2 linked regions of the Caenorhabditis elegans genome follow. The protein of the gene in region 1 interacts with the protein of each later gene in a pairwise test. Each region holds a gene or a part of one and is shown on either strand. Other genes may lie near its edges.

The links. Proteins that work in one complex are often made in the same cells at the same time.
Region 2: the proteins of T07D4.2 (region 1) and col-159 interact in a two-hybrid assay, tested with the Caenorhabditis elegans proteins (one large-scale study listed by BioGRID).

Annotation. Positions count from the first base shown.
Region 1 is NC_003280.10:8,869,049-8,875,964, reverse strand, and holds T07D4.2 (UPF0046 protein T07D4.2), read left to right. Parts: upstream 1-2,022; 5' UTR 2,023-2,024; coding exon 2,025-2,065; intron 2,066-2,131; coding exon 2,132-2,159; intron 2,160-2,566; coding exon 2,567-2,657; intron 2,658-2,893; coding exon 2,894-3,018; intron 3,019-4,010; exon of another isoform or gene 4,011-4,017; coding exon of another isoform or gene 4,018-4,182; intron 4,183-4,694; coding exon 4,695-5,031; intron 5,032-5,086; coding exon 5,087-5,175; intron 5,176-5,218; coding exon 5,219-5,295; intron 5,296-5,499; coding exon 5,500-5,615; intron 5,616-5,660; coding exon 5,661-5,845; intron 5,846-5,977; coding exon 5,978-6,079; 3' UTR 6,080-6,416; downstream 6,417-6,916.
Region 2 is NC_003283.11:13,197,704-13,204,150, reverse strand, and holds col-159 (Nematode cuticle collagen N-terminal domain-containing protein), read left to right. Parts: upstream 1-1,973; 5' UTR 1,974-1,994; intron 1,995-2,051; coding exon of another isoform or gene 2,052-2,267; intron 2,268-2,315; coding exon of another isoform or gene 2,316-3,053; exon of another isoform or gene 3,054-3,167; intron 3,168-4,604; exon of another isoform or gene 4,605-4,753; intron 4,754-4,835; coding exon 4,836-5,051; intron 5,052-5,099; coding exon 5,100-5,825; 3' UTR 5,826-5,920; downstream 5,921-6,447. Other genes in the region: col-160 (Nematode cuticle collagen N-terminal domain-containing protein), read left to right, coding at 2,052-2,267, 2,316-3,053; F57B1.9 (G-protein coupled receptors family 1 profile domain-containing protein), read left to right, coding at 6,228-6,329, 6,376-6,447.

The sequences.
Region 1 (6,916 bases):
TAAATTACTAGTAATGACCAAAATTGCTGTCTGCTTACGTGCCTACAAAGTGTACCTCGCCTTTATAATAACCGAAGACTTATTTGTCGTAGAGAAGATTTATTTGAGCGGAGCCACATTGCACCGGATGCCTTTTTCGTGGAAGGCATACAGTTTTGGCATTTGGGTGCAACTTTCTGACAATTTTTGCCCCTGAGAAACGTGCGCAATCTACTTCCTTCTAAAAACTAACCAAATTGTTTTAACAGCTTTCATGAAGTTTCCCCTAAATGCTATCCCTTTTATCTGAAATTCATAATTGGCTCAGCTTTACCAGCTTTCCAAATATTTCTGGCTTTGACGCACTTTAAATATATTATTTCATTAAATCCTAAATATAAAGTTCACTAGTTTTGTCAAGAACACATCCAAACAACTCGGTTCCTGTGTACTATTGCATCTTGTGACCTACAAACTAGTCAAGGATCTTTGAATTTTTACCATAAGTACCCTTCAATAATATCTCCCAGCTCCACCAATTCAATCAAGTTCAAGATTTCAAATTGATTGATGTCGACAAATTAATTGAGAGTACAACTCGATCCGCCCTCATCAAATCCTAATCCATCACTCGTAATACATCGACCTTCTTCATCAGATCTTCCCTGTTTTTTGTGCACCACTCATCATTATTATCTCTTTCCACCAGACTCTTCTCTTTCAGTCGACTCTTCGGCTCAACTTTGATCCCTTATTGTGACCCGTTGTGGGGTGTTAAAAAAGTTTATTGATGAGTTATGACAAGTCTTTGTGGTGAGACTGAGAACGATGAGGTGGGGGAGGAAGGTATGAAGGTGGAGCCATTGTGTGCACAAAGTGGTTGCTACTGGTGGTGAGTAAATCAACACCTGATGAGCTGTTCAAAAAACAGAAGCAGAAGAAGAACCAGTCACTTTACTCTTTGCAATGTTTTCAGCTTTGCTTTCTTATTTCTATGATACTAGTATTACGTTAGTTTCGCATTATATTTTTTCAGAATTTTAGCTTGAATTTGTTCACTTATAATTCGCATATCACTACATATAACTTGAAATAGAAATGGAAATAGTTAATAAGATAATGATGGAAAGATCAATTGAATGACTAAAAATAAAACAATTAGAACTTCTGAATGAGTTTAGAGGTAGATTATTGGCTACTGGACCTTCGTAACAGTATCTATTTGTAAATACTTATAGTAGTTTTTGTAATTAGTCTTTACTTATACTAGGGCAATACAAAAATATATTCTGAATCGCTACAGTTTGGATGAAATCTCAATAAAAACTAGGCTCCAATTTTTAACCTTTTCCAAGTGTTCAGAAACTTTATTTCTACAGTTTAGAGTTTACTTATATTTTCCTATTCCACTGCATTAATTTTCTCATAATAGAACATGTGAGTAGATAATTTCTATGTGATTTATGTGATACGTTTGGCATATGTTGTACTTTTTCTCAGTTGCACACTTATCAGCTTGTGACCTGGTGGCACTCAACCCTTGCCGTCTCTCGAGATACATTGTACCGCAATAAAGATTTGAAAAACAATACGACATTAGCAAGAGCTGGTCCAAACTTGTGCAAGGTATGAGTGGCGTTTCTATTGAGAAAACACGGTCTACTGTATTTTAAATATCTTGATAAATGTTATTTGCTCTGTTAGTATAAACTTTACCAATTATGTCATTGCCAACAGCTATATTCAACTACGTCACGAATCCTATGTCTCACTTCTTTGCAACAAAAACCCTTGATCTTTTTAATCACATCTTTAAATGAGAGTTGATCTCATTAAACTACTCATTTGCTCAAGAAAATTCTGCACTCAATGCTGAATTGCTTTGTCCGTGTTTAAGTACCTAATTCCATGATCCAGACACATCTTATCTCATTCCGAACATTCCCGAACTTTCGTGTCATCCTTCACTTCACTTTGTCACTTCTCAAAAAGTTGTCGTTTCTTCTTGCTTGTCGACCCAAAAAATCATCGAGATTTTTGCAGGAATGCTGAGTCCTGCATTGCTCAAAGTGTCACTCAATCGAAGGTTCGTCAATGATTTTTTGTAGCTGCACTCATTGTTTGTTTTATGTTTCAATCTTTGTGTTTTCAGAAGCTCCGCTCCTGTACCACAAGATGAGGTGAGCCAATTGGTATTGAAGAAGGATAGAACTCTGATCAAATGGAAAAAAGAGGAAGAAGGGGAGGGGGTTAAGATGGATAAGATGGAAATGCTGGAGGGAAGAAGAAGATGGAAGGTTTCATTGGCGGGTACCTTTGAGAACCATTCCCGTGCTTTGGTCACTTGTCCTGATTTTTTCTTCACTACAACCTGATTTTATGGAGCTATATTCTCAAACAGAAGTTGATAGATAAAGTGTATCACCATTCCGTTTAAAAACTGTATTTGTAAAAGATTTATGTCTCAGTTCCTTAACATTTTTGGTAGTAGTCCTCGAACCTCGAAGCTACAAATAATAATTTGCTCTATTTATATGATACTTCCACTTCAAAACATTCATATTTTAACATAATATATTTATTTCAGAAAATGATGTTCCATTCGCGAAACCGGGCTGCATCATATTTGCAGCCGATGATAGAAGATCAGGAATTGATTGGATTCAACAGAGATAGAAGTGAGTTCATAATTTCTTTTTGCCTCTCTCCCGATTCTCGTAAAAAATGAGAATAAACAGCAAAATGTGTAGTAAAGGTTGAATAACGTGTGAATACCACGATGGCAGCTTCAATGTTCTTCTTTTAAAATAAGTTATTAACTTTATAAAAAAAACCAGAGAACAATTCAGATTGATTCTCAGAAAAAAAAGAATACTTCCGTCTATTTCTAAGTTGTCATAACTATCTTTATCAGGAAGAAGTTCCGGCTCAATAATCGTCGACAGTTTTGAACTCGGAAATGCTTCGCCAAGTCGCCGCGGTTCAATTGCATCTGGCATTCCAATGGACAAAAAAACCCGACGGAAGCTGTCAAATCCGGTAGGTTTTCTATGTTGTTAGCTCCCATCAACAATTGGAAAAACAAAATGAAAGATAAAATGATAAATGCGTTCGAGCATGATACCAATCTGATGAAAAGAAGAAACAATCTATCTCATATTGAGTCGGCATACCAACTGACGTTGGAGTCTCTACTTTTTTGATTTAAACGAAAAAAAGAAAGAAAAGATATCTGAGAGCCGATGATGGTCGTCTTTGATTCACTATTCATCAGATGATCCACTGACGAACATTTTCTCACCTTTCCCTGAGATGTGCCAGCCTATCAGTTTCATTTTTACCGAGTTACCGACCTTTTTTTTTCGTAATTTTTAGTTGCTTTTCGGGGATTTTTTTGACTACGAAATTTTCTCAGTAATTTTTTATTTTTCTTCCTTTGAAGAAAACATTTTGCTCGATTTCCATTGTTGCTCGAGGTTATTCACAGTTTTCTGAATGTGAAAAATTATGAGAAAACGCGGCTCCCATTCTTTCAGACTTTCTCTCAAACCTTCAGTATTTTGAAACATTTCAAAAACTCGCAGAGCATTCGTATTATGGTAACTTGTCCAGGCGACCGGCAGTTAGTTTCATATTCGTCCAATCTTTCCAATCTAGTTTCAGCCGAAAACCACTGCTTTCCCAAGTATACATATATTTAAAAAATAAGAAAAGAGAACTAACTATTAACAGAAAAAGAACGGGTAACTGAATATCCTTCTGCATTTAGTTTGATGTATCCTTCAAAAAGATAAGGAACAAAAAGTGACCAGCACATACATATATCGGATGTCTCGTTTGCAACTTTTGGCCTCCCATCCCATTTCCTGTCACCTCGTGACCTCATCGTTAGATCGAAAACCATTTGAGTGCAGTCAATGTTTTTGACACACTTCAGATACTCGCCATAAATCTTTTGAATCTTACTTCTCCATTCAATCTTTTCGGCTCTATTTCTTCATTTGTTTCTTTCTTATCAATTGTTCACACAGCCTGAAAATGTTCTCCAAGTCGAGCAATCGGTTCGGAACAACTTCTATATTTGGGGATCAGTCTATTAAAGATGAATACCGTAACCGACAGAGACGTCTTTCTCTGATTGGTGGACCTATAAGTGGAACATCTCCAAATCGACGAGAATCACTTGTTCGAGAGTTAAGAACTGTAAGTTCAAAGAGTCTTTAGTCGCCAGCTGTTGTCAGTTCAAGCTTGTTAACAACAAATTACATGGGGGGCCAACATTTGTCAAAAAATTGCTTCCATTTTGTTATTAGTACGAACAGAAATTGAAAAAAAGAAGTAAAAAACTTGAGTCTCAATTTCCTGATTTATTTAGTTCTACCACTAATACTTCAATGTATTTCCTAAGGATACACAGAAAATCTCAAGATTCTATAAAAAGTTGGTATTCAGAGACTAAAATTCATAAAAGACCGGTACGTTTTTTGCATGCCGTTTGGCCCAGTTTGTGTTTTAAACCCTATGTATAGCAATGTTTATTTTTAATGCTATATTTTCACAGTATAATAATTTGAAAATTTTAATTGTATTGTTATATCCGGTCAAAGGTTGACAACAGCCACACAAGCCATGTGTTTAATGTCGTTAACAACAAGATGAATGGGAAATTAATTGCTCCGCAAGCTTCTCCTTCAGAACAATACATTTATTTTCAGGTATCTCTTCATCAATACACAGAAGATCCAACACTTGCATGGGAAATGCTGAAAGAAAAAAGACCAGTGAAACCAGTTCGTCAGATGAGACTTGATACTCCAGTAAAACCAGATCATGTGAGATTTGTATGTATTGGATGTACACATGGAGAACAATTTGATATATCAAAACTCCCACCTGGAGATGTTCTCCTCGTGGCTGGAGACTTCACATCATGCGGTCTTCCAAATGAAGTTCACAATTTTAATAAGTTACTTGGAAAACTGAAATACTCTTACAAAGTGGTGATAGGTGGAAATCACGAATGCACATTTGACGACACATTTTTGAAATTGAGTAAGTTCAACTCCAATAAACCATTAACGATCAATCACCACAACAAAATTTGCAGAACAAGAGTCTGAACCAAAAGAAATGGCACTGAAACAAGCATTGTTATCAGCAATTCATTCTGATTCAAAGGGTGGAATTTCAGCGAAAGTAAGCATGATTTCAATTTATGAAAGTATACAATTTTTTGTAGGATTTGTTATCAAATGCAATTTATTTGGAGGATAATGTAATCGAACTGTTTGGAATCACAATTTATGGAACGCCATGGTAAGGATTGCAAGTTTTCTGAAAAAATTGTGGTAGATTCAAGTCGAAATTTGAAACAATTGTCACCTTCGACAAGTATTATCATTATATATTTTGTAGATCAATAAAAAATATAAGTTCGAATTGAATATTCTTTCTCACAGCATAATTCTATGAGTTCCATATTGAACCCATTGTATCAAAGCACAATTTCAAAAATTGCAGGCAACCAAAAGTAGACAATTGGGCATTCAATCTCTCTCGTGGACAACAACTATTGGACAAATGGAACCTGATCCCGGCGGGCGTTGACGTGCTTTTAACTCATACACCTCCACTTGGTAAGTTCAAAGTACCACAAATAGTAAAACACAAATTTTGTGCAGGACACGGCGATATGATGAACAATGGACAGAGAATGGGATGTGCCGAGTTGTTGAACACAGTTTTCAAGCGGGTTCGACCAAAGTATCACGTTTTTGGACACATTCATGAGGGCTACGGATGCACAACTGATGGATATACAAAGTTCATTAACTGCTGCATGTGTAATGAAAATTTGGATTTAAAGGTGATCATTCGTGAATTTTGACTTATTGAGAAAAATTGGGCATGACTCTGGGACGACTTTATTCAAGCAGCACACAAATTTAGACTATCCATGATTATTAAATTTGACAATTTCATCGTTAAAAATTTTCAGAACGAGCCAGTAATATTCGATATCCCAGTGCACCCTCACACCAAACAATTCTACATTCAAAATGTGAAGAAAATTCATAAAAGATTCCAAAAGAAGAAATAAATTAAATTCCTCTCACTGTCACCTCTGTGTCATTTTGTAGTTATAATTATACCACCACTTTTTAATTTTTTTTGCTCTTTTTCCACACCACGACCATCATCATCTATTTTTCTCACTCATTGAGCCCTCCTCCAACCCCATAAGAACAAAATAATATCCCATCCGGAAATGAGTCTTTATGAACTCGATGCGCAGTCAACAGCACCACAAAAAGAGCAAGAGAAGGTTGATTGTGCTTCTGCTGCGACAGCTTCTGCAACTGCTTCTTCTCGTCTTCCAATTCTTCTTCTTTCACCAAAATTGCTCCCGCTAACCAGCAATAAAACATTCCAATTTGTGAGCCTCTTTCGAGTCAAACATTATGAAATTCAATACCAAATTATGCTGCAACCTCCTCTTTTGCCCTCTGAAATCAGATATTGGCCATGTGTGGTGCGGTTCCGGCAGTGCCGGCTTCTTGCTCCACACAGACAAATCTCTTTTGTTATTCATCGATGTCTTTTCTCAGAGATATCATCAACATTAGACTTTTTTCGATTTTACTGAAATTCATTATTTCTAGACCAGAAATATCTGAAACAGGGTGAAATCTAGTCAGAATGATTTCCACCCAGAGTTGTTTCATATAGTCTGTAATTTTTTAGATACAATATTTTTCTTACGTCAGACAGTATCCACCGTGTCAGTTGAGAATACACATAGGTTTTAGTTTTAAATCACCACAAAAGCTAACAAGCGCCACATTCAGTTGCACGTAGAAATTAATCTCTGACCTAGAATATATGATAGAATAGAAAAAGGAACCAATCCATTAGGAATAATGAAAATTCTTTGGCA
Region 2 (6,447 bases), on another chromosome or scaffold:
ATTTCCAACTTTTACACGAGTTTTTCAAGTAATTTTTATAAAATGTTCAAAGTACTAATCAATTAGCCCAAAACTAAATTGTCAGCTGTTAAAAAATTTCAACAATTCAACGATTCATAGAAGACATTTCTTTGGAAATTCATGACAACTAGGGAATGTGTGAATGCTTCATCGGAACTCGGTTTATTATTTGCGTAGCACGACAGAAATAATGGTTTTGCGAACAATGAATTTGCTTTTTAAAAAGAGAGAAAAAGAAAAGCAGCAGTGCTTCATTCACACCGATTATGAGACAAAATTCGATTGATCGATGAACAAAAAAGGAATGATAAAAAAGAAACAGTGAAGAGCAGACAATAAAAAGCACAAAAAACCGAATTGCTGGAGAGAATTGAAAACTTTGACACTGAAGTTGTTGCTTTTCGACCTTTGGGACCTCTTCGATGTTGACAGACTTCAATAAATTTTTGCGTAGAGTTGTCTTTTTTTAGGAGGCTGAATATTTTACGAGGTTTTGTTTTGTTTTTAAGTCATAGAATATTCTTTATTGAATTTCAAATGTGAAACTAAAAGGTAGGTAGAAATTCTATATACATAATTCTCATATTTTTTGTGAGAAAAATTACTAACATTTACAGACATAAATTTTGGTGCACCTCTTCTTATAACTTTAGGGGCAGTATATATATTTTTGAAAATATCAAAAAAGTATCTAAAACGAAAAATGTGGGAAATATTTTGGTTAGTTATCAAAAGAATTTATTTACTTTTTTCAAATTGTTATAATCTTACAGTTTTTTTTTGTAGAAAAACAATTTAAAATTTACGAAGTTTTGTTTTAAAAATTCTTACTGTCGAAACTTATTGCAAAATTTTTTTATTTGAATAAAAAAGCATTCAGATATTATTCAACAAAAAATTGTTTTGGGATATGTGTTAGAGCAAAAATCCAAAATATACTTTGTGTGTATGTTCACAGTGGGTTTTTTTAAAGCGAATTATTGTTTCTAAAAAATAAATAAAAACGCACAAAGAATGAACAATTCTTTGCAGTCAACTAAAAACATAGAAAAAAGAATTACTGTTGATCAAATTAAACAATCGAATGAGAACCATTTTGGTTCGTATTGTTATTAATTATAAATGTTAAATGAAAAAGTTTGGCTAACAACCTTATTCAACTTTTCATTTTATGCCAACTATCTGAAGTTTAACCCATTTTCTGATCCTTGTCTCGATAGATGTCACTTTATTGGTCTACTGCATTTCTGAAAATTTAATCCGAGTTGTTGTCTTTTTCACAGACCGCCATTTACATTTTCAGATTTTTTTCAGGAAAAAAAATAACTGTAATCGAAAAAACTGATCCCCGATTAATGATGTCTCTTCATACATTCCGTTGTCTTATCTGCCATTCAATTTGGATTTGCAAAAATTCTCGAATACGTCAGATAAGATGAACATTTGAACAGATTTTTGTTTACTGACGAAAATATCCCGATAACCGTCTGCAAGGTTTTCAGTAAATAGTTCCGTTTTACATCAGATTACTTTTTACAACTTGCTATCATTCATCGATATAACACGAGAAAATCGAAAAACACTTCCTCTTTCTGCCTTGTTCCCCTGCTTTCTTTTCATCTTTTTCCAATTTTCACCCGTCGCTTCTCATCTATCCCTTCTTACTTTTTTATCACTTTTCCAAACGGTTTTTTGCTGTCTCTACCTATCTACTATCATAAATATCATTTACTTCTCTCTTTTTTTGTATTTCGAGGTCAATTTGACAGAGAAACCCCTAATGGCAGAACACACAGGAGTAATAGACAAAGCAGTAGAGGGAGGAGAGAAGCCAAACGGTTCCTGGTTTGAGTTTTTGGCATCTGCGTTACCGTACTACGTGCTATCAGAGTATTACACCTTGGCAAGTATAAAAGGGATGACTCGACAATGGTCAAATCACTTGACTACTCGGTCCTGTCCATTTAGTCATTGTAAGTTTTACTTCAAACCTTTTTTCTTTGAATCTTCTGAAATTTCTCCTTTTTTAGATGTCGTCTGAGGATCCAAAACAAATAGCTTATGAGACTGAGTCTCTCCGCAAGGTTGCATTCTTCGGAATTGCAGTCTCAACCATTGCTACGTTGACCGCTATTGTTGCCGTTCCAATGCTCTACAACTACATGCAACACGTTCAATCTTCCCTTCAATCCGAGGTCGAATTCTGTGCCCACAGATCAAACGGACTCTGGGATGAGTACCAAAGAGTGAGCTAATATTACTATGAAATTGAATCCAAACTTTCCTATTTTCAGTTCGAGGGAGTCAGCGGAGTTGCTGGACGCATCAAGCGTGAATCTTACCACCGCAGAGCCTCTGGACCACACAGAGCTTCCAAGGTCCGCAGACAATCTTACGGAGCTGACGCCGCTGTCGGAGGATTTGGAGGATCCGCCGGAGGATCATGCTGCTCATGCGGAACCGGAGCTGCTGGACCAGCTGGATCCCCAGGACAAGACGGAGCTCCAGGAAACGACGGAGCCCCAGGAGCCCCAGGAAACCCAGGACAAGATGCCTCTGAGGACCAAACCGCTGGACCAGACAGCTTCTGCTTCGACTGCCCAGCTGGACCACCAGGACCATCAGGAGCCCCAGGACAAAAGGGACCTTCAGGAGCCCCAGGAGCCCCAGGACAATCCGGAGGAGCTTCCCTTCCAGGACCACCAGGACCAGCCGGACCACCAGGACCATCTGGACAACCAGGATCCAACGGAAACGCCGGAGCCCCAGGAGCCCCAGGACAAGTCGTCGATGTTCCAGGAACCCCAGGACCAGCTGGACCACCAGGACCACCAGGACCAGCCGGAGCCCCAGGACAGCCAGGACAATCTGGATCCGCTCAACCAGGAGGCCCAGGACCACAAGGAGATGCCGGAGCTCCAGGAGCCCCAGGACAACCAGGACAAGCTGGAGCCCCAGGACAAGACGGAGACAGCGGATCCGAGGGAGCTTGCGATCACTGCCCACCACCACGTACCGCCCCAGGATATTAAATGTATCCGAATTGATTATGACATCATTTCTCTCACTTCCATTATCTTGCTTTATTTCTTCACAAATCCAATTGTGAACACTAGCACCCTGTAGAAATAAAAACTGCATCATCCAATTTTTGTCTTATGTTAACAAAAAACCAACGGCTGAAAAAAGTTACAATAAGGTGTTTCCGTACACACTCGAGAGTCTGTTGTTCTTCGCATTAAGGAGAAACTTTCATTCAAGGTCATCAAGATCCAAGTGGTCTACTTACAGTGTTGCCCTTTTATTGTTTTCGGTAATTGGACAACGGAAACCCCTTCTAAGCAGTAAACAGGAAGTTTAATATTGTTTGACAAGTGATTCGAAGGTTTCGAGAACATAACAAAAAGTTTTTCAAAGGTAAAACATGTAATCGTTTTAACGAGACCGTATTAGCTTTGATTCTTGAGATTCTCGTACATTTGCCTCTATACAATTTACAGGGTTACTGGGAAAAGACTCTAAAATCTTTTGCGTATGTGAAATTTGCCAAGATATCTGATCTGGTGAATCTTCTACACGAACTTCAAATTGTCACCGGATATTTCTAAAGTTTGTGTTTTCATTATATCCGCCATCTCTAGAAAAGAGATAACGAAGGCAAATCTCATATCTTATCAAAATTGCAATTTTCTTCATTTTCTGATATAAACAAGTCTCAACTTTCATTACTTCAATGCAAACTTATCTTAAACGGGAATTTAGACACATCGGCAGCAACATAATTCTAAACGATTCGGTAAAAGAAATGTCCAGTTTTTTCACAAGGATCTTTGTCAGTTGTTGAAGTGGTGACTCTGGATTCTACCGAGAGTAGAGACAAAACAGATTTATTGAACTAAAGTAATATCCTCAAAAAGTTTTGGAATGCTACATTAATTTTAACAGTTTGATTCGCTTTTTTTTTTCTGCAGAAATTTTTTTTTCGTTAAATTTTTCTGCAGCAATAAAAGGAGCAGATCTAATTCTCTGAAAATTGCAGAGAAAATGTATGAGTGGAAATGTTTCTTTTTCTAATGTTTCTCAAATCGAGTAACTATTTCAACAAACCATACTAACCATCGATGCAAACTTGTTTTTTACTCGTATATATTTTCCAGTAATACCCTTTTGATTTGGTATAAACGTTTTAGAATCACATTATTCATAGGTAGAGTTTTTTTTTTCAATGTGTGTTTAAACTATTAATGAAAATGGCACATAATCATTATCAGTTTTTCATATGTAAACTGGATCCTTATAAAAGTTTTGCAGCGTTTTCATGTGGATGAGGGTCGACTCTTCCTGAAGTAGACATTTTAGCATTTCCATTATTTTGAAAATTAAAATTTGTTAGAGCTCCAAAGCAAACATTCTGAACTACTATGTACATTTCCGGCAGATGTTTTCTATTTTTTCCGTTTTTACACTCAATGACGTTTAGTTTACTTTATTTTTTAGTTTTCAAGTATCAATTTATAATCAACACATAAAATGGCATTGACGTCTGGTTAAAAAAACGACCCCGCAATGAACAATCTTCGGCACGAGCTAGTAATAAACCAGGAAATGAAACGATAATGAAGAAAATAGCTAAAGACGAACGACCTTCTAGATTTTCACATCCGTCCCACTCTACACAAGCAAAGGTATTACACCACAATGGGTATAAATACGGACAGCGTACGCTTTAAGACACTTGACTTCCCGGTCCAGTCTATTCAGAAATTGTAAGTTTTAAGCGATTTCTTTAAACACACAAGATCTTAAATTTTAAGATGTCGTCTGAGGATCCAAAACAAATCGCTTATGAGACTGAGTCTCTCCGCAAGGTTGCATTCTTCGGAATCGCAGTCTCGACCATTGCCACTTTGACCGCTATTGTTGCCGTTCCAATGCTTTACAACTACATGCAACACGTTCAATCTTCCCTTCAATCCGAGGTCGAATTCTGTGCCCACAGATCAAACGGACTCTGGGATGAGTACCAAAGAGTGAGTTGATATTACTATGAAATTGAATCCTAACTTTTCTAATTTCAGTTCGAGGGAGTTAGCGGAGTTGCTGGACGCATCAAGCGCGAGTCTTACCACCGCAAAGCCAGAGCCTCCAAGGTCCGCAGACAATCTTACGGAGCTGACGCCGCAGTCGGAGGATTCGGAGGATCCGCCGGAGGATCATGCTGCTCATGCGGAACCGGAGCTGCTGGACCAGCTGGATCCCCAGGACAAGATGGAGCCCCAGGAAACGACGGAGCCCCAGGAGCTCCAGGAAACCCAGGACAAGATGCCTCTGAGGACCAAACCGCTGGACCAGACAGCTTCTGCTTCGACTGCCCAGCTGGACCACCAGGGCCATCAGGAGCCCCAGGACAAAAGGGACCTTCAGGAGCCCCAGGAGTCCCAGGACAAACCGGAGGAGCTTCCCTTCCAGGACCACCAGGACCAGCCGGACCACCAGGACCATCTGGACAACCAGGATCCAACGGAAACGCCGGAGCCCCAGGAGCCCCAGGACAAGTCGTCGATGTTCCAGGCACCCCAGGACCAGCTGGACCACCAGGACCACCAGGACCAGCCGGAGCCCCAGGACAGCCAGGACAATCTGGATCCGGTCAACCAGGAGGTCCAGGACCACAAGGAGATGCCGGAGCTCCAGGAGCCCCAGGACAACCAGGACAAGCTGGAGCCCCAGGACAAGACGGAGACAGCGGATCCGAGGGAGCTTGCGATCACTGCCCACCACCACGTACCGCCCCAGGATATTAAATGTTTTTTTTTTGTTTTTTTTATTTCCAACATCTTGCTTTATCCATTTTTGCAAAGTCATCCTGATAGATTAGAATGAACATGACAATCTGCAATTTGAACATAAAAACAATACAATCGTAACACAAAGTCAACGAAAGTGTAATGAACGTCATTGGATCAAGCGTTCCAAAAAAAATTATGATGCAGATTACACTAAACACGAAACTAAAGTTGTATTATTGACATTTGTTCGTAGAAAAAACGTCAAGACATTCTCATTTTAATCATTATAAAAGGCAATAACGTGCTCAGGCGCGAAAATGTTGATTTCCAGCTGCTTTTTCATCTCTCACGAAATCAACTTTTAGTTAGTTTTCTAATACTTACTGAACTCACTTTTTAATCGATTAATCTTTTGAAATGCTTTCGATTGTTCTTTTGTTTGTTTTTGGAATATTAGCAAATGCTCATCTGCAATCTTCTGATGGAGTTTCACCTCCTAAAAGTTCACCGCTTGAAGAGGTAATTTTTTATTTATTGGAAAATAGGTATAACTAGTAAACTTCAGGTCGATGCAGAGATTCCTCCTGAAGATAAGAATTTTTTGTATTATTTTATTATTGCAACGTTCACAGCCTCG